Linked DNA regions of Macaca fascicularis. The protein of the gene in region 1 interacts with the protein of each later gene in a pairwise test. Links are inferred from orthologs where the notes say so. Each region holds a gene or a part of one and is shown on either strand. Other genes may lie near its edges.

The links.
Region 2: the proteins of RGS20 (region 1) and PTPMT1 interact in binary tests that used the Homo sapiens proteins (3 or more experiments, as listed by UniProt). The two-hybrid records come from large-scale screens. The link is inferred for Macaca fascicularis from reciprocal best matches to the Homo sapiens genes RGS20 and PTPMT1.
Region 3: the proteins of RGS20 (region 1) and FASLG interact in binary tests that used the Homo sapiens proteins (3 or more experiments, as listed by UniProt). The two-hybrid records come from large-scale screens. The link is inferred for Macaca fascicularis from reciprocal best matches to the Homo sapiens genes RGS20 and FASLG.

The regions. Positions count from the first base shown.
Region 1 is NC_088382.1:63,823,541-63,831,478, forward strand, and holds the start of RGS20 (regulator of G-protein signaling 20), read left to right. Parts: upstream 1-3,696; 5' UTR 3,697-3,801; coding exon 3,802-3,966; intron 3,967-7,938. UniProt on the Homo sapiens protein: Inhibits signal transduction by increasing the GTPase activity of G protein alpha subunits thereby driving them into their inactive GDP-bound form.
Region 2 is NC_088388.1:18,268,373-18,274,912, reverse strand, and holds part of PTPMT1 (phosphatidylglycerophosphatase and protein-tyrosine phosphatase 1), read left to right. Parts: coding exon 1-19; intron 20-128; coding exon 129-209; intron 210-3,972; coding exon 3,973-4,164; intron 4,165-6,364; coding exon 6,365-6,523; 3' UTR 6,524-6,540. UniProt on the Homo sapiens protein: Lipid phosphatase which dephosphorylates phosphatidylglycerophosphate (PGP) to phosphatidylglycerol (PG).
Region 3 is NC_088375.1:30,263,282-30,271,156, reverse strand, and holds the start of FASLG (tumor necrosis factor ligand superfamily member 6), read right to left. Parts: upstream 5,645-7,875; 5' UTR 5,425-5,644; coding exon 5,080-5,424; intron 4,529-5,079; coding exon 4,483-4,528; intron 320-4,482; coding exon 263-319; intron 1-262. UniProt on the Homo sapiens protein: Cytokine that binds to TNFRSF6/FAS, a receptor that transduces the apoptotic signal into cells. Involved in cytotoxic T-cell-mediated apoptosis, natural killer cell-mediated apoptosis and in T-cell development.

The DNA.
Region 1 (7,938 bases):
TTATTTAAACACTTCACTCATTTTTAATTTTTTTGTTTGTTTTTGAATTATAAGAGCTCTGTATATATTCTGAATTACACATCCCTTATTATTTACACAGCCTGCAATATTCTCCCCTGTTTTGTGGGTTGCCTTTTCACTTTCTTCATGATGTACTTTAAAACACAAAAGTTTTTAATTTTGATTAAGTCTAATTTACCTATTTTCTTGTGCTTTTGATACTGTATCTAAGAAGGCTTTGCCAAATCCAAGGTCACGAAGATTTAACCTTATGTTTTCTTCTCAGAGTTTCATAGTTTTGGCTTTTACATTTAGATCTATGATTCATGCTGAATTAGTTTTTGTAAAGAGTGTGAAATAGAGGTCCTATGTAATTTTTCTGCATGTGGATAACCAGTTGTCCCCACACCATTTACTGAAAAAACAATTCTTTCCCCATTGAATTGTCTTGGCACCCTGTCAAAAATCAGTTGACCATAAATGTATGGGTTTATTTCTGGACTTTCAATTCTGTCCCATTGATCTACACATGTACATACCTATCCTTATACCAGTACCACACGGTCTTGATTACTGTCACTTTTTAAAATTTTTTATTTTAATTTTTAGGTTCTCAGATACATGTTTAGGATGTGCATGTTTGTTTCATACGTAAACGTGTGGTTTGCGGCACCTATCAACCCATCACCCAGGTATTAAGCCTAGCATACGTTAGCTATTTTTCCTAATGCTCTTCCTCCCACAACCCCACCCCTGACAGGCCCTAGTGTGTGTTGTTCCCCTTCCTGTGACCACGTGTTCTCATTGTTAAGCTCCTACCTATAAGAGAGAACATGTGGTGTTTTGTTTTCTGTTCCTGCATTAGTTTGCTGAGGACAATGACTTCCAGCTCCATCCATATCCCTGCAAACGACATGATCTCACTCCTTTTTATGGCTGCATATTATTCCATGGTGTATATGTACCACATTTTCTTTATCTAGCCTATCATTGATGGGCATGTGGGTTGATTACATGTCTTTGCTATTGTGAATAGTGCTGCAATTAATATATGTGTGCATGTATCTTTGAAATAGAATGATTTATATTCCTTTGGGTATATATCCAGTAATGGGATTGCTGGGTCAGATGGTATTTCTGGTTCTAGATCTTTGAGGAATTGCCACACTGTCTTCCACAATGGTTGAACTAATTTACATTCACACTGACAGTATAAAAGCATTCCTATTTCTCCACAACCTCACCAGCATCTGTTGTTACTTGGCTTTTTAAGAAATTGCCATTCTGACTTGTGAGAGATGGTATCTCATTGTGGTTTTGATTTGCATTTCTCTCTCTTTTTTTTAATTTTTTTTTTCCTGAGACAGCATCTTGCTCTGTCACCTAGCCTGGAGTACAGTGGCGCAATCTCGGGTCACTGCAATCTCTACCTCCCTGGTTCAAACGATTCTCCTGCCTCAGTATCCTGAGTAGCTAAGACTATAGGCACATGCCACCACACCCAGCTAATTTTTGTATTTTTGGTAGAGATGATGTTTCACCATGTTAGCCAGGCTGGTCTTGAACTCCTGACCTCCTGGCCTCACCCGCCTCAGCCTCCCAAAGTGCTGGGATTACAGGCATTGAGCCACCACACCCAGCCTGATTTGCATTTCTCTAATGGTCATTGATGTCGAGCTTTTTTCGTATGTTTGTTGGCTGCACGAATGTTTTCTTTTGAAAGTGTCTGTTCGTGTCCTTTGCCCACATTTTAATGGGGTTTTTTTTTTTTTTCTTGTAACTTTGTTTAGGTTTCTTGTAGATTCTGGATATTAGCCCTTTGTCAGATGGATAGATTGCAAAAATTTTCTCCCACTCTGTGGGTTGCCTGTTCACTCTGATGATAATTTCTTTTGCTGTGCAGAAGCTCTTTCATTTAATTAGATCCCATTTGTCAATTTTTGCTTTTGTTGCAATTGCTTTTGATGATTTTGTCATGAAATCTTTGCCTGTGCCTGTGTCCTGAGTGATATTGCCTAGATATTCTTCTAGGGTTTTTATAGTTTCGGGTTTTATATTTAAGTCTTTAATCCATCTTGTGTTAATTTGTGTATAAGGTGTAAGGAAGGGGTCCAGTTTCAATATTCTGCATATGGCTAGCCAGTTTTCCCAACACCATTTATTAAATAGGAAATCCTTTCCCGGTTGCTTGTTTTTTTTCAGGTTTGTTTCAGATCAGATAGTTGTAGATGTGTGGTCTTATTTCTGAGTTCTCTATTCTGTTCCACTGATCTATGTGCCTGTTTTTGTATCAGTACCATGTTGTTTTGGTTATTGTAGCCTTGTAGTATAGTTTGAAGTCTGGTAGCATGGTGCCTCCAGCTTTGTTCTTTTTGCTTAGGATTGTCTTGGCTATACAAGTTCTTTTTTGGTTCCATATGAATTTTAAAATAGTTTTTTCTAATTCTGTGAAGGATGTTAATGGTAATTACTGTAGCTTTGTAGTAAGTTTTAAAATTGGGAAGTGTGATCCTTCAACTTTGTTCTTTTTCAAGACTGTTTTGGATATTCTGGGTCCCTTATAATTTTTTTTTTTTTTTTTTTTTTTTTTGAGACAGAGTCTCACTCTGTCACCCAGGTTGTAGTGCAGTGACACGATCTCAGCTTACTGCAACCTCTGCCTCCTGGATTCCAGCGATTCTACTGCCTCAGCCTCCTGAGTAGCTGGGATTACAGGCATATGCCACCACACCTGGCTAACTTTTTATATTTTTAGTAGAGACGGGGTTTCACCATGTTGGTCAGGCTGGTCTCGAACTCCTGACCTCGTGATTTGCCCACCTCAGCCTCCCAAAGTGCTGGGATTACAGGTGTAAGCCATCATGCCTGGCCCCTTATAATTTTATATGAATTTTAGAATCAACTGTCAACCACTGCAAAAGAAAGGAGCCGACGTATGATAGGCATTGTGTTGAATCTATAAAGCAATTTTACAAAAGGAAACTTTTCCAGTTCATCGACCCCAGTAATACACATCCCTTACCTTTGTGCACCCTCAAACCCAACAGAAGCTACTTGGGCATTAGTTGCCTCTTGATAGAAAGGTATTCTACCTTTTCCAGTCTGCTTAATAATCTTATATTTATAAAGCAGTTTATAAATATGAAGTATGGTGTTAGAAGCCAATTCTTGGCTTACTCATTGGGTACCTAGTCATCTCATAAGAAAATCAATTTAACATACTCCACATGATGTATGTAAAAAGTGTAATAATCATTGAGTTTAAGTTTGGGTATGAGTTTTGCATATGTTACTACCTACAAATATGACTGTTATTAAAATTACCTTTTAAGAAACCTGGAAAGATTAGGCCAACCATCTGCCTGTCAATTGCACAGCCCAAGATTGTCAAGTACTATTGGCTATCAAACACAACTAACACAAGAATTTTTGCCAGTCTATTTAATTTATCACTATATGCTAAGCTATATATCACTTGGATCGTTTCTTTCCGTTTTGATTTAGGATTACATTTTAATTAAGAATACATTTCTACCTTTAGAGGGCACTCATAACATACAGCACCTAGACATCCAAAATAAGCAGCTCTACCAGGAATAGAACATGAAAGATCTGTGGATAAGCTACTGATCCACAAAGCAGATAATCCTTTTGCTTTCATTAGTGTAACTTTCCGAGGAGGCTCCCCACAGACTCAGAGCCAGCCCAGCATTAACCAAACAAAGACAAACAGAGTGGATCCTGTGCTAATATTGGGAAAACCAGGCAACAGGACTCATTTGGGGCCTTTATTGTGAAAACATGCCCCAGCTTTCCCAAGATAACCAAGAGTGCCTCCAGAAACATTTCTTCAGGCCATCTATATGGACACAGTTTCTGCCCCTGTTTAGGGCTCAGAGATATAATGCAGACATTCACCAAATCACAGAAAATGAAGGAGACCCCAGGGCCATTCCTGATATCAAGGTAAGGTGATCTCCACAATCCATGATCCTTTCCTGTCAAGGGAAAGTGTTTACCAGAAAGAATATAAAACTATATGCAAGCTTTAGTGTCATTGCTCTCTTATCTTAATGTTTTTCCAAAAATGTTTTCAAACCAACCCCAAGGGAAATCTAGAACCTAGATGATAATTACCTGATCTATCTAGTTTTCTCCAATCTAAACAGATTCCCCTTACCAAAACAAATTGTTGTTTATTGTTTTTTTGTTTGTTTGTTTGTTTGTTCGTTTCAGGTGATAACATTCAACAAATCTAGACAGACTTTGTGGCTTTAAGTGTTAGCCCTTGGATGTCTTTCTCTGATATAAATATGATATCCCATATAATAATGAAAGAAAAATTGTAGACTGCTTTCTACAAAAAAAAATTCCTAGGGAAAACAATTAATAAACTAAGAACATAAGAACATTAAGGAGCTAAGGGATGTTTTTTCCAAATTAAAAGTTTCCTAAGGTGAATTTCTTAAGCTTGAGTTTCTATCAGTAGGTAATAACATTATTTCTCCAAAGAGTGACAATTTACCTGCTGGATGTTGTGTGTATCTTTGAAGAAAATACAGTTTGAGTCTGTAAATCCTCTTAGCTATTAACATTTCGTAAAAGGTTACTTGGTATAGAATATGGACATGTGTTAATGTCTAACAAGCAAGAGCACACTCAAAATTAAGTGTTGCAAAACTATAAAACTGTTCAAATACCTTAACACCAGAAAATTCACCTGTTCTTTTGCCATGGCTCATATCCTGATAATAATCATTATTTATTTGCAAACTCTTTATATAATTCTCTACGTCTGCCCTTTCTCCTAATGTTATTTTAACCATTTGGCACAAGTGGAGGGGAAAATAATAAAAATAAAAAGGGTCAAGATAAAGGTTTTTTTTGTAAATATATACGGGCCTGTTCTTTTGAGCTTTCAGACGTATGTGAACAAATAACACATGAATTCCCACACCCCCTATTATCATCTAAGCACTAAGAGTTTAGCAAGCTGCAATGAAATGGGATGTAGTGGCCAAGAGTCCTGAATTAATGGACATCTTAATGTAGGCAACACATGCAAAAGATATTTCTAAAAGACAGAATGTGGAGGCTACTTTGAGGAAACAGACATCAAAAACAACAAATATACCCATTATATGGTGCATATGTATGCTGTTGTATATGTATGTATGTATATGCACGCACACATACATATATATAATTTCAAAGTTCTAACTGTCTTGAGAAGGTATGCTCTAAGTGGAATCAAAGACAAATAAAATGCAAAAATATTTAAAAATCACTGTTACACCTTCCCATGGCATCCTGGAATCAACCACACACGCTGGTGCTGGGCAGCCTAACTTCTATCCTAACCTCACTAATCTGTTTTTTTTGTTGTTGTTTTTTTTTTTTTTTTTTTGAGACGGAGTCTTGCTCTGTCACCCAGGCTGGAGTGCAGTGGCCGGATCTCAGCTCACTGCAAGCTCCGCCTGCCGGGTTTACGCCATTCTCCTGCCTCAGCCTCCCGAGTAGCTGGGACTACAGGCGCCCGCCACCTCGCCCGGCTATTTTTTTTTGTATTTTTTAGTAGAGACGGGGTTTCACCGTGTTAGCCGGGATCGTCTCTCGATCTCCTGACCTCGTGATCCGCCCATCTCGGCCTCCCAAAGTGCTGGCATTACAGGCTTGAGCCACCGCGCCCGGCCCCCTCACTAATCTGTTAACGGGTTCCAGTCTGTACAGCAACAGGTGAGGGTAGAAGGAAGCAATCCGGTTGGGATGCTACTGGCTCCTTCATTCAGTTTTTGCCTTTTGAAAAAAAATCTTTTTATATTGCATCTGAATACAGAAAGAGGAGACGTGCCTCTTTTAGCAAATGTAAGGATGGAAACACCGAACTCATTTTGAGTCTGCTGTTATCATTGAATCCTTACTAACTGCAAAACCTTGGGCTAGGAGCCATAGGGAATAAAGAGAAAGAGCAAGATAAGCTCCCTCCTTTCTAGAGACTTACTGTATACTGAGAAAGACAAACATATAGCATATTATCAGCATGACTCATGTCAATAATATAAGGTACCTATGTAATTATTGTACATTTTTTCAATGAGTAAGATATTAGGGGAGGAATATGATCACTCTGGGGTAAGACAATTGAAGAAGCCCAGTGTTAGAGTGAAAGCAGTGAAATCTAAGGTAGACGTGAAATAATGTCTAAGAACATACATATAGAGGCAGAAAGAGGGAACGTGGGCTAAAATGTATCTAGACATCAAGGGGTCAGTCAGAAATTCTCCAAAAATCCTCAACCTAAGCTTTACAGTTCCTGCAAAAATTACCCCCAAATAGATCATGGGCTTAAATGTACAACTACATGTAAAACTATAGAACTTTTAGGAAAAAAATGGGAGAAAATCGTTATGAGCTAGGGCTAGGTGAAGAGTACACAGACACCAAAAAATCATGATCCATGCAAGAAAAATTATCAATAAATAAGACTTCATTAGAATCTAAAAAACTTTTGCGCTGTCAAAGACTCTATTGAGAGGATAAAAGACAGCATACAGACAGCAGGAAAATACTTTCACCCCCATGTCTGCCAAACACCTTGAACTGAGAATAAAGAATTCTCAAAACTCAAGAGTAAAAGACAAACAGTCCAACAAGAATATGGGCAAAAGGCATGAACAGGCATTTTACTGAAGAGAATATGCAGATGGCAAATAAATATATGAAAAGACAGTCAACATTGTTAGCCATTAGGGAGATGCAAATTAAAGTCACAGTGAAATATCACTACACACCCAGCAGAATGGGTAAAATGGAGAAAAAATAGTGGCTATAAAAATGGCTAGAATGGCTAAAATGACTAAAATTATGATAACACCAACTGCTGGAAAGGATACAGAGAAACTGAATCATTCATGCATTGCTGATAGGAATGTAAAATAGTACAAGCAATCTGGAAAACAATTTGGCAGTTTCTCATAAAATTGAAGATACAGCTACCATATGGTCTAGCAATTTCACTATTAGGCATTTATCCCAGAGAAATGAAAACCTACATTTACACCAACCCTGTATGCCAATGTCCACAGCTGCTTTATTTGTAATAGTCAAAAACCAGAAACAACCCAAAAGCCCTTCAAGGGATGAATGATTAAACAAACAGTGGTACATCCATACCGTGGAATCCCATGGAGCCACTAAAAGGAATGAACTACTGATACACAACACACTTGGGTAGACTTCAGGGACTGATGCTGAGCGGGGGAGAAAAAGCCAATTCCAAAAAGTCACACACTACATATATGTGTATGATTCTATATAAGCCACTCTTTTTTTTTCTTTGAGATGGAATATTGCTCTGTCGCCCAGGCTGTAGTGCAGTGGGGTGATCTCGGCTCACTATAACCTCAGCTCACTATAACCTCTGCCTGCTGGGTTCAAGCGATTCTCTCACCTCTGCCTCCCGAGCAGCTAGGACTACAGGCATGCGCCGCCACACCCAGCTAATTTTTGTATTTTTAGTAGAGACAGGGTTTCACCATGTTGGCCAGGCTGGTCTTGAACTCCTGACCTCAAGTGATCTGCCCACCTCAGCCTTCCAAAGTGCTGGGGCTACAGATGTGAGTCACTGTGCCCAACCAATATAAGCCACTCTTGAAATAAAGTGATAGACATAGAGAACAGATTCATGGTTGCCAAAGATTAGGGATTAGGTAGGGTGGTGGGTATAGCTACAAAGGGGTCACACTTTAAAGGGAGCCTGGTGGTGATGAACCAGTTCTGTGTCTTGACTGCAGCGGCAGTTATGCACATTACACATGTAATGTGCTAAAGTTGCATGAAACTATACACGTGCACACACAGAAATGAGTGAAATCTGAATAAGCTCTGTGAATGGTACCCTTTTCATTTCCTAGTTTTGATGTTCTTTAGTTAATGCAG
Region 2 (6,540 bases), on another chromosome or scaffold:
GCGGAGCTTGACGCGCCAGGTGAGCCAGGCCGGGGAGCCCGGGCACCTGCCCCGTCCCCGCCGTTCCGTCTCTGTCGGGCCGCTGGGGTCTCCACAGTCTTTGCTGAGCCACCTCTTTGCCTCGGCAGCTGGTACAGGACGAGAACGTGCGCGGGGTGATCACCATGAACGAGGAGTATGAGACGAGGTTCCTGTGCCACTCTTCACAGGTGAGGGACCGGGCCGCGGGGCAGGCTCGGGGGCCCGCTCCCCTAGCCCACCGCCCTGGGCCTGGGACGGCTAGAGAAGTTTGGGGGAGGTCATCATGCCCCAGAGCCAGGCGTCCCAAGCTGCTTTGCCTCCAGTCTGGTCCTCTAAACGGCACCTGGAGGTAGGCTAGAAACTGTGAAAGGCGTTTATTTAAAAGTTCAAGTTGGGCCGGGCGCGGTGACTCACGCCTGTAATCCCAGCACTTTTGGGAGGCGGGAGGAGGAGGCGGGCAGATCACTTGAGCCCAGGAGTTCCTGACCAACCTGGGCAACATGGCGAGGCCCCCATCTCTACAAAAATACAAAAAGTAGCCGGGAATGGTAGCGTGCGCCTGTAGTCCCAGCTACTTGGGAGGCTAAGGCAGGAGAATCACTTGAGCCGGGGAGGTGGAGGTTGCAGTGAGCCGACATCTTGCATTCCAGCCCAGCCTTGGGCGACAGGAGTGAAACAGTCTCAAAAAAAAAAAAAGAAAAAAAAAGTGCAAGTTGACAAAGTCTGATTTCTCCTTTGTGAACGAATGTAATGTATTCTTATTTCAGTAAACAAAATCAGAAACTAAAATTGAAAGGCAACTTTCCTGTGCCTTCCTGATTTCATTCATTCTTTCTGCACTTTGAGCTCTGAGTATGGGTCAGCATTCCCAGTGTTAACGATTCCAGATGAAGGCCCTGCCAACTATAAGAAGAAAAGCACCCCCTTAATACGTCCCCCTCCCCACATTTTTCATAAACTGTAGAGTTAATTTGGCTCTGATTTGGGGGAATTTTTAGTCATATGTTAGAAATCATGGTGGAACTACAAAGTTCTTTCATAACGAAGTTTAGGCCTAAAGCATAACTTTCATTAAATGTGACTGGCTTGTTTGTGGAATCTTCCACAATGGTTATTAGAAGATGTTATCTGGTCGGGCGCGATGGCTCAAGACTGTAATCCCAGCACTTTGGGAACCTGAGACGGGCGGATCACGAAGTCAGGAGATCGAGACCATCCTGGCTAACACGGTGAAACCCTGTCTCTACTAAAAAAATACAAAAAACTAGCCGGGCGAGGTGGCGGGCGCCTGTAGTCCCAGCTACTCGGGAGGCTGAGGCAGGAGAATGGCATAAACCCGGGTGGCGGAACTTGCAGTGAGCCGAGATCCGGCTACTGCACTCCAGCCTGGGCGACAGAGCGAGACTCCATCCCCCCCCCCGAAAAAAAAGAAGATGTTATCTACAATGTGATTAAAAATGTTGCCCTATCTTTATAGTGTTTGGCATCTAATAGCACTAAACAATTATCTTTCTCCTTTGTTTTACTGATATAGCATGATGAAGATACTATTATTTCAACCTGAGGATTTTTTGAAACCTTAAAAATATTTGTGACTTGGCTGGAAATATTTGTGACTTGGCTAGGCGTGGTAGCTCTGACGCCTGTAATCCCAGCACTTTGGGAGGCTGAGGTGGGTAGATCATGTGAGGTCAGGAGTTTGAGATCAGTCTGGCCAAAATGGTGAAACCCTGTCTCTACTAAAAAATACAAAAAACTAGCCCGGCGAGGTGGCGGGCACCTGTAGTCCCAGCTACTGGGGAGGCTGAGGCAGGAGAATGGCGTGAACCCGGGAGGCGGAGCTTGCAGTGAGCTGAGATCCGGCCACTGCACTCCAGCCTGGGCGACAGAGGGAGACTCCGTCTCAAAAAAAAAAAAAAAAAAAAAAAGCTGACCTTCATTCAGAACCATACAGTCTCCGATACTCATTATTAAGAGGTTAATAATAAGAGTAGCTGGAGGATATCTGAAGTCTTAAAGCATAAAGTTTGCCCAGTTGCCAAAGACCTTATTTCTCTTATTTCTTCTTTTTTTTTTTTTTTTTTGAGACAGAGTCTCACATCTCACTCCATTGTCCAGGCTAGAGTGCAATGGTGCAATCTCAGCTCACTGCAACGTCTGCCTCCCGGTTCAAGTGATTCTCCTGCCTCAGCCTCCCAAGTAGCTGGAATTACAGGTGCCCGCCACCATGCCTGGCTAATTTTTGTATTTTTTGTGGAGATAGGGTTTCGCCATGTTGGCCAGAGTCATCTCGAACTCCTGACCTCAGGCTATTCACCCACCTTGGCCTCTCAAAATCTGGGATTACAGGTGTGAGCCACCGCACCTGGCCACCTATTTCTTCTTTGTAAGTGATGACATTGCACTAATGAAGGTCAGTGCATTGTTTTAATTTAATTTTTTTTTGTTTTTTTTGTTTTCCAGACGGAGTCTTGCGCCTGGCCCATTCTTTTAATTTTAAAATGATAACCCTATTTTCTACCATGTGCTTCCTCAAAAAAAAGTGGTAAAAAAAGAGGAGACTTATGGACAGAGAAATAGAAAGCCCTGGCAAAATATTGTACCCCAAATCTGCAGCTGAATCACTACACAGGTGCCAAAATTATACAAAAAAAAGTTACACTGGCTGGGCCTGGTGGCTCATGCCTGTAATCCCAACACTTTGGGAGGCCGAGACAGGAGGATGGCTTGAGGATAGGAGATTGAGACCAGCCTGGGCAACATAGCGAGACCCCCATCTCCACACACAAAAATAACAAAATTAGCGAGGCACAGTGGCGTGCAGCTGTAGTCACAGCTTCTCAGGAGGCAGAGGTGGGAGGACTGCTTGAGCTTAGGAGTTTGAAGCTGCAGGGAGCCATGATTGCACACCACTGCTCTCTGACCTGAGCGACATAGCAAGATCGTGTCTCTAAAATAAAATATGTATATTTTTTGAGATGTTGTTTTTCTCTTGTCACCCAGGCTGGAATACAATGGTGTGATCTCTGCTCACTGCAACCTCTCTCTCCTGGGTTAAACAATTCTCCTGCCTCAGCCTCCCTAGTAGGTGGGATTACAGGCGTCCGCCACCAGGCCTGGCTAATTTTTGTATTTTTATTAGAGACAGGGTTTCACCATGTTAGCCAGGCTGGTCTCGAACTCCTGACCTTAGGTGATCTGCCCACCTCAGCCTTACAAATCGTTGGGATTACAGGCGTGAGCCACTATGCCCGGCCGAAATAAAATGTTAAGATGTTTGCAGCTGAATTTTTTGCAGCTAAAATATATATAGCTAATATTTTGCAGCTAAATATTCAAGTACACAAAGGGTAGTTTAAGAACACTTTACCTGCTGGTGTGGTGGCTCACACCTGTAATCCCAGCACTTTGGGAGGCTGAGGCGGGCAGATGACCTGAGGTTAGGAGTTTGAGACTATCCTGGCCAACATGATGAAATCCCGTCTCTACTAAAAATACAATTAGCCAGGCTTGGTGGCGCGTGCCTGTGGGCCCAGCTACTCAGGAGGCTGAGGCAGGAGAATCGCTTGAACCTGGGAGGTGGAGGTTGCAGTGAGCTGAGATCACACCACTGCACTCCAGCCTGGGCAACAGAGCGAGACTCTGTCTTAATAAAAGAAAAGGAACACTTTAAATCTTGGACATAATTCTAACTCAGCAGCATAGCTGCTGTTTGATGAAAAACCAACTATGTAGGCCAGCCATTTTAAAGACATTTCTGTCCTCACCCGGAATGGGAAAAAAAAGCATTTCTGTAAGGAGTTTCTATTTTAGAAAACAGGAAACAGTGTATTCCCATTGTAGTAAACCCTGAAACTTCCCTGTTGCTTTGCTGCCTCTTAGGAGCCCCTTATCATCCCACCCACATCAGGTTTTTTTCATTCTTTTTCATACTGGTGGACCTGGTTCCAGGAGTGGAAGAGACTAGGAGTCGAGCAGCTGCGGCTCAGCACAGTAGACATGACTGGGATCCCTACCTTGGACAACCTCCAGAAGGGAGTCCAATTTGCTCTCAAGTACCAGTCGCTGGGCCAGTGTGTCTACGTGCATTGTAAGGCTGGGCGCTCCAGGAGTGCCACTATGGTGGCAGCATACCTGATTCAGGTACAAAAGTTCTTTCTGGGCTGGGCATCGTGGTACATGCTTACAATCCTAGCATTTTGGGAGGCTTGAAGTGGGAGGATGGCTTGAGCCCAGGAGTTTGAGACCAGACTGGGCAACATGGCAAAGCCGTCTCTACAAAAAATACAAAAGGTTAGCTCGGTTTGGTGGTGTGCACCTGTAGTCCCAGCTACTTGGGAGGCTGAGATGGAAGGATCACCTGAGCCCGGTAGGTAGAGGCTGCAGTGAGCCATGATTTGTGCCACTGCACTGCAGCATGGCCGACACAGTGAAACCCTCTCTCAAAAAAAAAAAAAAAAAAAATCTTTCTGGTCCCATTTATAGCAGATTTCCAGAACTTCAATAGCATGGTCTACTGGTGGGCCTTGTTGGAAGGAGCTGTGTGCTTGATTTCAGGCTGTTGGGAGGTGGTGTGGTATGATGGAAAGCACCTGAGCCTTGTGACAGGCTAACCTGGGGCTCTGCCGCCTGCCAGTGAGGATCAGCAAAAGTGACTGATACCTAATGCTGTTTTCTCAAACTAAATGTATCATGAAGTTTAAATAAGAAATTACATCAAGTGCTGGCTACAGCGGGCACTCTAAAAATGGAGTTGCAAAAGATATTCAACCCCAGCAAAAGGCTAGACACTTGTTCTAATACCATGTCAGGGAACAATACTGTAGATAATAGTGATGATCATTTTCAGCTTTATAGTACTCAAGTTTCTTCAAGTATTCCAGAGTCAAGTTCTGGATATTAGTTTCTGGAAACAGGCTCCAAACTAGATTCTGCCTGTTAATTTGTCATGATTGGCAGGTGGGATGCTTTAAAAATATTTAGGAGAAACAAATACCCTGTAGTCCATCATCATTTTGTAACCTGAGTTACAAAATGGCTCCCACAGAGCATTTTCTAAGTCATGTGAATAGCTAAGTTTGGCCTTGTGTTACTGTGGACTGGTGTGTATGTATGTAGTTGAACGATACTAAAATTTCGGTCATAAGGACTCTGCTGGACTCAGGGTCTCAGGAGGGTATTTTGTACCCAGTGAGAATTGAATTAGCAAGCTAGAAATCTGTATTTTCTTGGTTCTGTTCAGTTCTAAACCAATGAGTATCCTTAGGACATGTTAACCCTCCTATTTAAATTATGAGTACTTGTTTTTCTAGCCATGGTGACAAGTTGCATAAAAACATCTACTGCAGGCCGGGCGCGGTGGCTCACGCCTGTAATCCTAGCACTTTGGGAGGCAGAGGCGGGCGGATCACGAGGTCAGGAGATTGAGCCTGGCTAACACGGTGAAACCTCGTCTCTACTAAAAATACTAAAAATTAGCTGGGCGTGGTGGCGGGCACCTGTAGTCCCAGCTACTCGGGAGGCTGAGGTAGGAGAATGGCGTGAACCCGGGAGGCGGAGCTTGCAGTGAGCTGAGATCGCCACTGCACTCCAGCCTGGGTGACACAGCGAGGCACTGTCTCAATAAAAAACAAACAAACAAAACATCTATTGCATACGTGTTCCTAGAAGTTCTTTTAACCAAAAGCCCAGCTCGGAGAGAATGTGGAGTAGGCTGAGGCAGTCTTGAACTTAGGACCTCAGCTTCTCATGTGCAACTTTCTTTTTCTAGGATTTGGCAGAGCAAGAATTGGGTAGAAAGACTGACTTTCCACCTGGCCTGTTGCATAGTATTGTGAGACTGGCTGACTGCAGTGGTTACAGTACTCTCCCATTTATAATACAAGAAGCATGATTTTTAATGCCTCCAAAATGGAGTTTCCAAAGAAATGAAACTCTCGAAGTCCTTTAGCACCTGCTCATGTGTCAAGGGCACGTTGACACCTGCTTTTTTTTTTTTTTTTTTTTTTTTTTGAGACGGAGTCTCGCTCTGTCACCCAGGCTGGAGTGCAGTGGCCGGATCTCAGCTCACTGCAAGCTACGCCTCCCAGGTTTACGCCATTCTCCTGCCTCAGCCTCCCGAGTAGCTGGGACTACAGGCGCCCACTACCTCGCCCGGCTAGTTTTTGTATTTTTTAGTAGAGATGGGGTTTCACCGTATTAGCCAGGATGGTCTCGATCTCCTGACCTCGTAATCCGCCCATCTCGGCCTCCCAAAGTGCTGGGATTACAGGCTTGAGCCACCGCGCCCGGCCTGACACCTGCTTCTTTCTTTCTCTGCTGATTTCTCAACCCTGTACTTCAGGTGCACAGATGGAGTCCAGAGGAGGCTGTAAGAGCCATCGCCAAGATCCGGTCTTACATCCACATCAGGCCTGGCCAGCTGGATGTTCTTAAAGAGTTCCACAAGCAGGTTACTGCAGGGGCAGCAAAGGATGGGACTTTTGACACTTCAAAGACATGATGTATGTGGATTAGAAA
Region 3 (7,875 bases), on another chromosome or scaffold:
CTGAAAAGAATGAGCTCCTTATGGGCACGGGTCATGTCATAATCAGCTCCAGGTCTCCAATTTAGAAGGCCTTGCCCAGAGAATAGGGGATCGAAGTGTGTTTATAAGACTGACTCGACAAGGAAAATGTTAGTATGATTGAGTTCAAATACTGTCACCAGGAAGTAACAACTCTCTAGCACCTGGTAATGGAAACCAGGCAGCCATTTTGCCTTTTGCCAAAAGCTTTCCCAAACCCCACCCGTACCTTCCAGATACAGACCTGTTAAATGGGCCACTTTCCTCTGCTCCTTTTTCTCAGGGGGTGGACTGGGGTGACCTGTATCATAGAGAGAGGAAAAATATATGTTAAAATGAAATACCAACTATTATTTTGGTGGGAATTTAAATCCCATCATTTAAAAAAAAAAGATTTTAAAACCATAAATGGCAACAGTCTAACATATACTAATCATGTAAGTCTGAACTGCGGGATTCACCGTGGTCTATATTTCAGAAACAAAGAGGTAAAAAATAAACCAAATTAAGATGGACACATGCATAAATTATAATGTTACAATAAAATATAATTAATATAAACGTTTATTCATAATGAGCTGTCATGTCAGTTATTGCATTTAGAACTCACCACAACCCTTTGAGGTATGTATTGTCCCACCCCTTATCAATTGCAAAATGAGCTTAGAAGTTGGGTGACTAATCCAACTAGTCAGCATCAGAGATGGGACCACACCCTGGTCTCCTGACTCCAATTCCAGGGCTCTGTCCACTCTGATTCTCTCGTCCCTAAGACTTACAGGAAAGAGACTGAAGAAGACCACTAATCTATCTGCGTGTCACCAGATCTTCCCCCAGGGACATTTTACAATCTTCCCCAAATTAAGTATCTTAAGTCCTCAGACAATTACCTCATATCACTGAGGCCTCAAACACCTTTAATGGCTCCTTCCTGAAGATGCAGTTGTATACAAGTCTCCCCATCACACAATCCCAGCCCATCTGTCCAGCCTTATCTCCTTACTCCCACTGAGCACTGCCACACAACGGGAGTTCTGTGGCCTACACGTACCCCCACTTCCCTTCCTCTGTGCCTTTGTTCATGCCATGCCTTTTGCCCATAATGTTCTTTCAAACAGATTTCTGTGTCAAATTCCTAAACATCCCATAAGGACTATACCTCTTTCTTTGGGAAACCCTCTCAAACCTTTTTTGATCAAATATGATCTTCCCCTCTTTTGAAATCTAGGATCATTCTGTCTTCCCCTCTCTTGTCATTTCTGACTCCTCTTCTCTGGGGTAACTACATAAATTATCTTATTCCGCTCAAATAATGACAAGTTCCTTACGATATGTTGAATTCACCAGAGAAGCCCAGTTCCTAACACAGGGCATGTTACTAGCAAATGTCAGATAAATTAAATGGAAGAATAGACAGTAGTTCTCAAAACAGACACTATTTCTCTGACTTCAACTATTTCAGACAAGATAGACAGCTGCCACTTAGCTAACGCATTCAGCTAACTGAGACCTCAATAAATATTCACACGAGATGCTTGAATATGTCAGGTTCGTGATTAGCCTGTAAAACTCACGTATGGTGTGAGAATGGCCCAATTCACAGAGAACATTACCTGAGCGATCATGACCTCTCTGGTCACCCAAGACAACCCACCATGAAGGAGGTGTTAGTGAACAGGAAAGGCAAAACTGAGTCTCTTCTGCATTCCTACACCGCAAACCACCCGAGCGACTCATCTGGCATTCAGCCATGCACCGGCAGGAAACAGAACCAAGAACCACATGTTGCCTATCTTTTTATCCCTCACAGAGCCTAGTACAACATTATTTTTACAGAACATGCTCACTAAGAATATCTGCTGTACATAGGCTGGAATAAATAAACTGCAGAGATACCTTAGACACTGGTGATGAGTGCTTCCTGCCCCAGGGTTTTTGCATGTGCCGTTCCCAGTGTTGAAATGCTCTCCCCCAGCCCCACCCCACTCCACAGCACATGCACACAGCCCTTCGCTCATCAGGCTTCTGACCCCCCAGGTGTCAGCATAAACACCTCCTTAAAAAGGATTCTCAGCTTATACTTAGTACAACTTTGGAATTGTATGGTCTGTTTGCTTGCTTTTGTTTAGCTTCTTCACCATGCTAAAAGCTCTATAAGGACAGGTCCCCTGGGCTGGCTCATCCTCGATCAGCGTCCAACACCCAACATCTAGCCTCACGCATGTGAATGAATAAAAGATTTAATTAGCTAACTGGAAAAAAATGGAAAATGTAAAAAGGAACAAGTTAGAAAGTATAAATAATCTATAGTAGTATCTCCCAGAGAAAATCACTGTTAGTATGTCAGTGTGTAGAACCTTCTAGTTCCTAAGAATATAAAAACGTGCATACATGGTTACATAGTCAGTATGAAACGAAATATATCCTTTTGTAACTTGTCTTTTTATCTAACAATACACACTGCACAATCCCCAAGGCATTAAATGTCCTTCTGATACACCATTTTTAGTTGCTGCTTATTATGTGCTTGTTTCAATACACCATAATGTATATAACTAATCTAGTATGAGGCATTCAAGTTTCTTCTGGATTGTTTATTATAAATAGGCTCATAAGGGAGTAATGAACATCCTTATATATAAATCTTCAGGCACATCTGATTATTTTCTTAAGAGAAATTCTTAGTGATAGGATTACAACATAAACTATTAGTTTCAAGCTTTTGATATGTATTTCTAAAGTGCTCTTCAGAAAAAGTTATAGCAATTTACATGTATACTGGCTGAAACTAATGTTTAAACAGCACTTTTCTTTCAAATCTTTGTCAGTCTGGGTTTTTGTTAACTTTACTAATTTGATGAAAATTGGTGTTCCCTATTTTTAGTTTGCATCTCTTTTCTTATTAGTAAAGTTACTGATTTGATTTCCTTGTGATAATTTAACAATTTCTGGTTCATCTGGGTTGATCTAGAGAAGATAATTGCTTACTGGGGTAGATGGACATGACTCGTCTGGTCATTTGATTTTTAATCACTAAATTGACTCCAGAGAGGAGGTAAAAGATGAATGCTTAGGTACCTATCAGACCAGGCACATTCCACAGGTTTTCAAAATGATCTTATTTGAGACATCCTCCAGAGGCTTTATTTTTCTAGCAAATATTTCCACTCTGCTTGTGTACATATGGACTTTCTAACATTTAAGGATTAGGACACAGACTCAGGGGCCAGAGCTTCCCAACAGTGGCTCCTATAAGAACTTAACAGTCTAGGACAGTAGACAGGCGACTGGGTTGCCTGCAGTAGCCACATCCAGAGAAACTGAAACTTACTTCACTTAATAGATGGCCAGTGCTGCCTTCTTCTTTATTCTGAGTTTCTAAGGATGCGATCTATCTATAGTCTTTGCAGAGGTATCCTGCTTTTCCTCTATTTCTCACTCCATGCTCACTACAGAGAGACAGGAGTTTCCCTACTTCATGAGGCACCAGTCCAGTACCGGAAAGCCCTGTAGGTGACAAGGCATCAAGAGCCTGTGTTCCTTCTAGCCCCAGTTCCATACTAGGGGTCTTGGGCATATTCACCTAATCTGTCTGGCATTTTGTTTCTCTTCCAAAAAAATGAAATGGCTGGACTAGATATTCTAAGCTTCCTTCCAACTCTAAACCTTCAGTGAATCTCATTGTAAATCTAAATCTAAAATTTCAATGAATCTTAGGCTAGTGAAGCACATTGTAAAATCCATCTGTACAGAGCTTGCAAAACTATGCCCTGAAATTTCACGAGATCAGTGTTCCAACATATCGTCTTCTTGCCCTAGCTCCCATACAAAGGATTTTCCTTTGTGATCAAGGGTACCTCATGACTGCCTCTGAAGCTGAACATCCTTTGAATGATGGCTGAAGTCTTCCCTTCAGCTTCTCAGTGACTTCAAGAAAAACCATTCTAATGTACGGAATTGATTAGCCACATTTTAAAAGCTTACATCCTATAAAACATTTTATAAATAAAGTTTCACTGTGATCTCTTTAGAGGCTTTAAAAGAGGAGAGGACGTTTCTCAGAAACATCTGTCTCTGCCTTCACTTCGCCTTCTCTTCCCAGAAGTCATAGCCACTGGCATGTGTGCCAGGACCAGGGTGTCTGTGGAAGGGGACAGGCCTGGAACCACTGCTCAGGGGGCAAAAGTCCACGGTTGTATATGTGTGTCTCTTTCCAAAGTCAAGCGGAAGTGATTTTGAATTGTGTGCCGTGCTCAGCTATATTGATTGTGAGCAATTCAATTCACTTCACATTTTTAAAGCAGCTCAAGGAATCATACTGACCAGAGATTCCGAATTAGCCAGGATTCCTCTCATAGTATACATAAGCCAAAGTGTAGGACAGAATATAAGGCATTCCATTAACATATTTCAGTGCTGAGGATCACCTTTAGGAACTCAATGTACATGTGAAAAAGGACTCACCTATTTGCTTCTCCAAAGATGATGCTGTATGCTTCTGGCTGGTAGACTAGTAAAAGAGAAAGAAAAAAGATGCATAATAAAAATAAAATTATTTAAGCAAAAGAGACAGAATCGTCAAATAAACCAAGCCCTGGAAAGAGAATCCAAATACCTCAGAACTTTTGCTGACTCAGGCTTTGGTCAAGCAATTTTGCTTCACTGTCCCTCAGTTTTGTGATTTGAAATCGTACCAGTATTTTAAGTATTTTCAAGATTTAGTTTGGTCATCTGAACAAATTTACTTCCAAGCAAAACTTAAAAGTTTTGTTTGTTTTTTACTCCTTAAATCACTAGGTATGAGGCAGTAAGTGGTTCAACAGACTGAGTTGACAACTGAGGAAAGAAAAACTGTTGGGCTCTGATTCTTTACAAAATAAAAAATATTCCCTTCACTCCTATGAGCCTCCATTTCTCTGCCTATAGAATAGAATAACTAGAACAACCCATTTCTAAGAAAAAAAAAAAAGGATTGAAAAGCACTTTGCAAGCCAGGCAGTGGGCCCTCCACCCCCTTATGCCTGGTGCCTCCAGGGCACAGCAGTCTGCCAGCAGGCTTACCTCTCGGAGTTCTGCCAGCTCTTTCTGTAAGTGGAAGAGCTGAAACATCCCCAGTCCCAATCCTACCAAGGCAACCAGAACCATGAAAAACATCACAAGGAGACAAAGGCCTGTGCTGTGGTTTCCCCTCTTCTTCAAGGGTGGCAGCGGTAGTGGAGGCAGTGGTGATGGCGGTGGAGGTGGTAGTGGCGGCGGTGGCGGCGGTGGTGGTGGCCTCCTTTGACCAGGCCTTCTGGGCACAGAGGTTGGACAGGGAAGAACTGTGCCTGGAGGGGCCCAGGGAGAGCTGGCACTGCTGTCCACCCAGTAGATCTGGGGATATGGGTAATTGAAGGGCTGCTGCATGGCAGCCGGTGAGTCAGGCCAGCCCCAGCAAACGGTTTTACTTCTCAATCCTGTAGAGGCTGAGGTGTCAAGGACAGGACTCCTGTTGCTGACTGCTCAAGAGGAGGCAAGCTGGATCTCTCTTATAGAGTTTCCATAGCTAAGGGAAACACCTCTGTCTTTCTCTTTCTCTATGTCTCTCTCTGATTCTGCTTCTCAAAGAAACACCCACTCACTTTGCAGCTGAAGCTGAGAAGCCTCAAGAAGCTCAGAGCAAACCCCTGGAAGTTTCCGCCCACAATCTTCTGACGAAAGCCTTGGAAGCCTCAGTTGCTATCGCTGTACTACCCAAACAGGTTGGTAGGCTATGCTCACCTTCCTGGGATCCTGTAGAGCAGGTCAGCATTGGGGTAGAGCCCTGTTGGCGTGAACTGCTCCCAGCTACAGGAGAATGGCCAGTGGGGCTATAATTTTATGAATTATAATTGTATCCTTTTTTATACATTATAATTGTATAATGTTAAGAATTCTACCATGTATACGACCAAAAAACTATTTAAAAATACCAAAATACCTCTAACAAAAATTGTTCAGAACCATATTTTTTAAACTATAAAAATTTTACTGAAATTGGCTCTGAGGGGAGAGACCATGGAGCCATGGCCAGAGAAGTCACTCCCACATTTTAGTTTTTGCAGGAGGAAAACACCTGTTGCCATCATCGCTTCCCCACACACAACTACCATTTACCCTGACCTGCCAATCACCATAATTTACAGGTTAAAAAACCTGCTACACCCTCTTTAGAAATTAGATCAGAGGCTGCAAACAGTGGAACCCACAGAACTGCTTTGTATTTCACAATGTTTTCATTTTCATTGTTTGCCCAGCTTATTTATTTACGTATTTATTTAAATAGAGACAGAGTCTCACTCTGTCACCCAAGCTGGAGTGGAGTGGTGCTATCATAGTTAACTGCAGCCTCAAACTCCTGGGCTCAAGCAATCCTCTTGCCTTGGCCTCCTAAGTAGCTGGGATTATAGGCATGAGTCACTACACCTGACTAATTTATTTATTTATTTATTTTTGTAGAGATGGGGACTCGCTATGTTGCCCAGGCTTGTCTCAAACTCCTAGCTTCAAGACATCCTCCCACCTCAGTTTCCCAAAGTGCTGGAATTACAGTCATGAGCCACTGCACTCAGCCCAATTGACCACTTTTAATATCAATATTAAAAATATTTTAATATATATACATTTTAAATACACATTAAAATACATATTTTTGTTCTGTTTTGCAATATCAGAATATCAGACACCCTCGAGGCCATCTCTGCAAACCCAATCAGTGGGAAGTAGGTAGCAGCTGCTCCTGAGAATGAGCGACAGGTGTTCTGGGTCACCCAGCCTCCGCCAGCGGCCTGTGTCTCACACATCACCTCACCATCTGAAAGGCCTGCCTGGTCCTTGCCGATATTTCTGTGTCCTGTCCCTGTTATGGTTGCCAGATTAAATACATGGTGCCCAGTTAAATTTGAATTTCAGATAAATAATACATAATTTTTAGGACGAGTATGTCTTAAACACGTCCAAACATGGAATACACTAAACAATTATTCATCATATAACTGACATTCAAATTTAACTCTGTGTCCTATTTCTTTGTTTTTCTGTTGTTGTTTAAAGTTGGCCTCTCTACTTGGGCTCACCTCACCCTTTCCTTTGGCCTCACATACCATTTTTATGCCAATAACTTCCAAGTAGTTAGCTTCAGTCTTAATCATTCCCCAATAGAAGCCAAATAAATCCCCCATAAATCCAAATTTTTCATTTTTTTCATGTTTATTACCTTTCAAATTTCATTAGTTTTTATATCATGTTTTGGGATTTCCGTGACTGTCATTCAGGCCCACTCACCTGTACCAAACCAACACCAAGGATACTCTTTCCCTGATATATTCTGCCCATCCCACCCCATCCCCATCCCCGTACAATCTGTTTCTCCTGAGGCCACTCTTTCTGGCGGCAACTTCATCTCCTTTCTTTTCCTCTCCCCCAATGTTTAACTGGTCACCCAGGACTGTTGCTTTTACCTGAGACCTGTTCCTTACCCTCCCCTCGGTTTACTGCTCCCCTCCCCCATCCTTACCACTCCCATTTTTCTTACTGCTATTGCCTGGGCTCAGACTTTTTATCTCTCACCTGAAATACTGCAATAATGACCTAACAGGTGCCCTGCCACTGACCTTTCCCAAGCCCAAATCACTCAGTAAAATGCTACAAGAAAGATGTTTTTTAAAAACAAACCTAATGATCTCACTTCCCTTCCTTGTGTTGGAAGGTTTGATTCCAAGAATAATGCAAGCTCCTTACCATTACCCAAGGCTCTTTAGCATCAGCTCCCACTGCCTCCTTATCAGGCACTCCTGCTCACATCCCACTCTCCACTCTTAAACAGTGCAAGGGATGAGA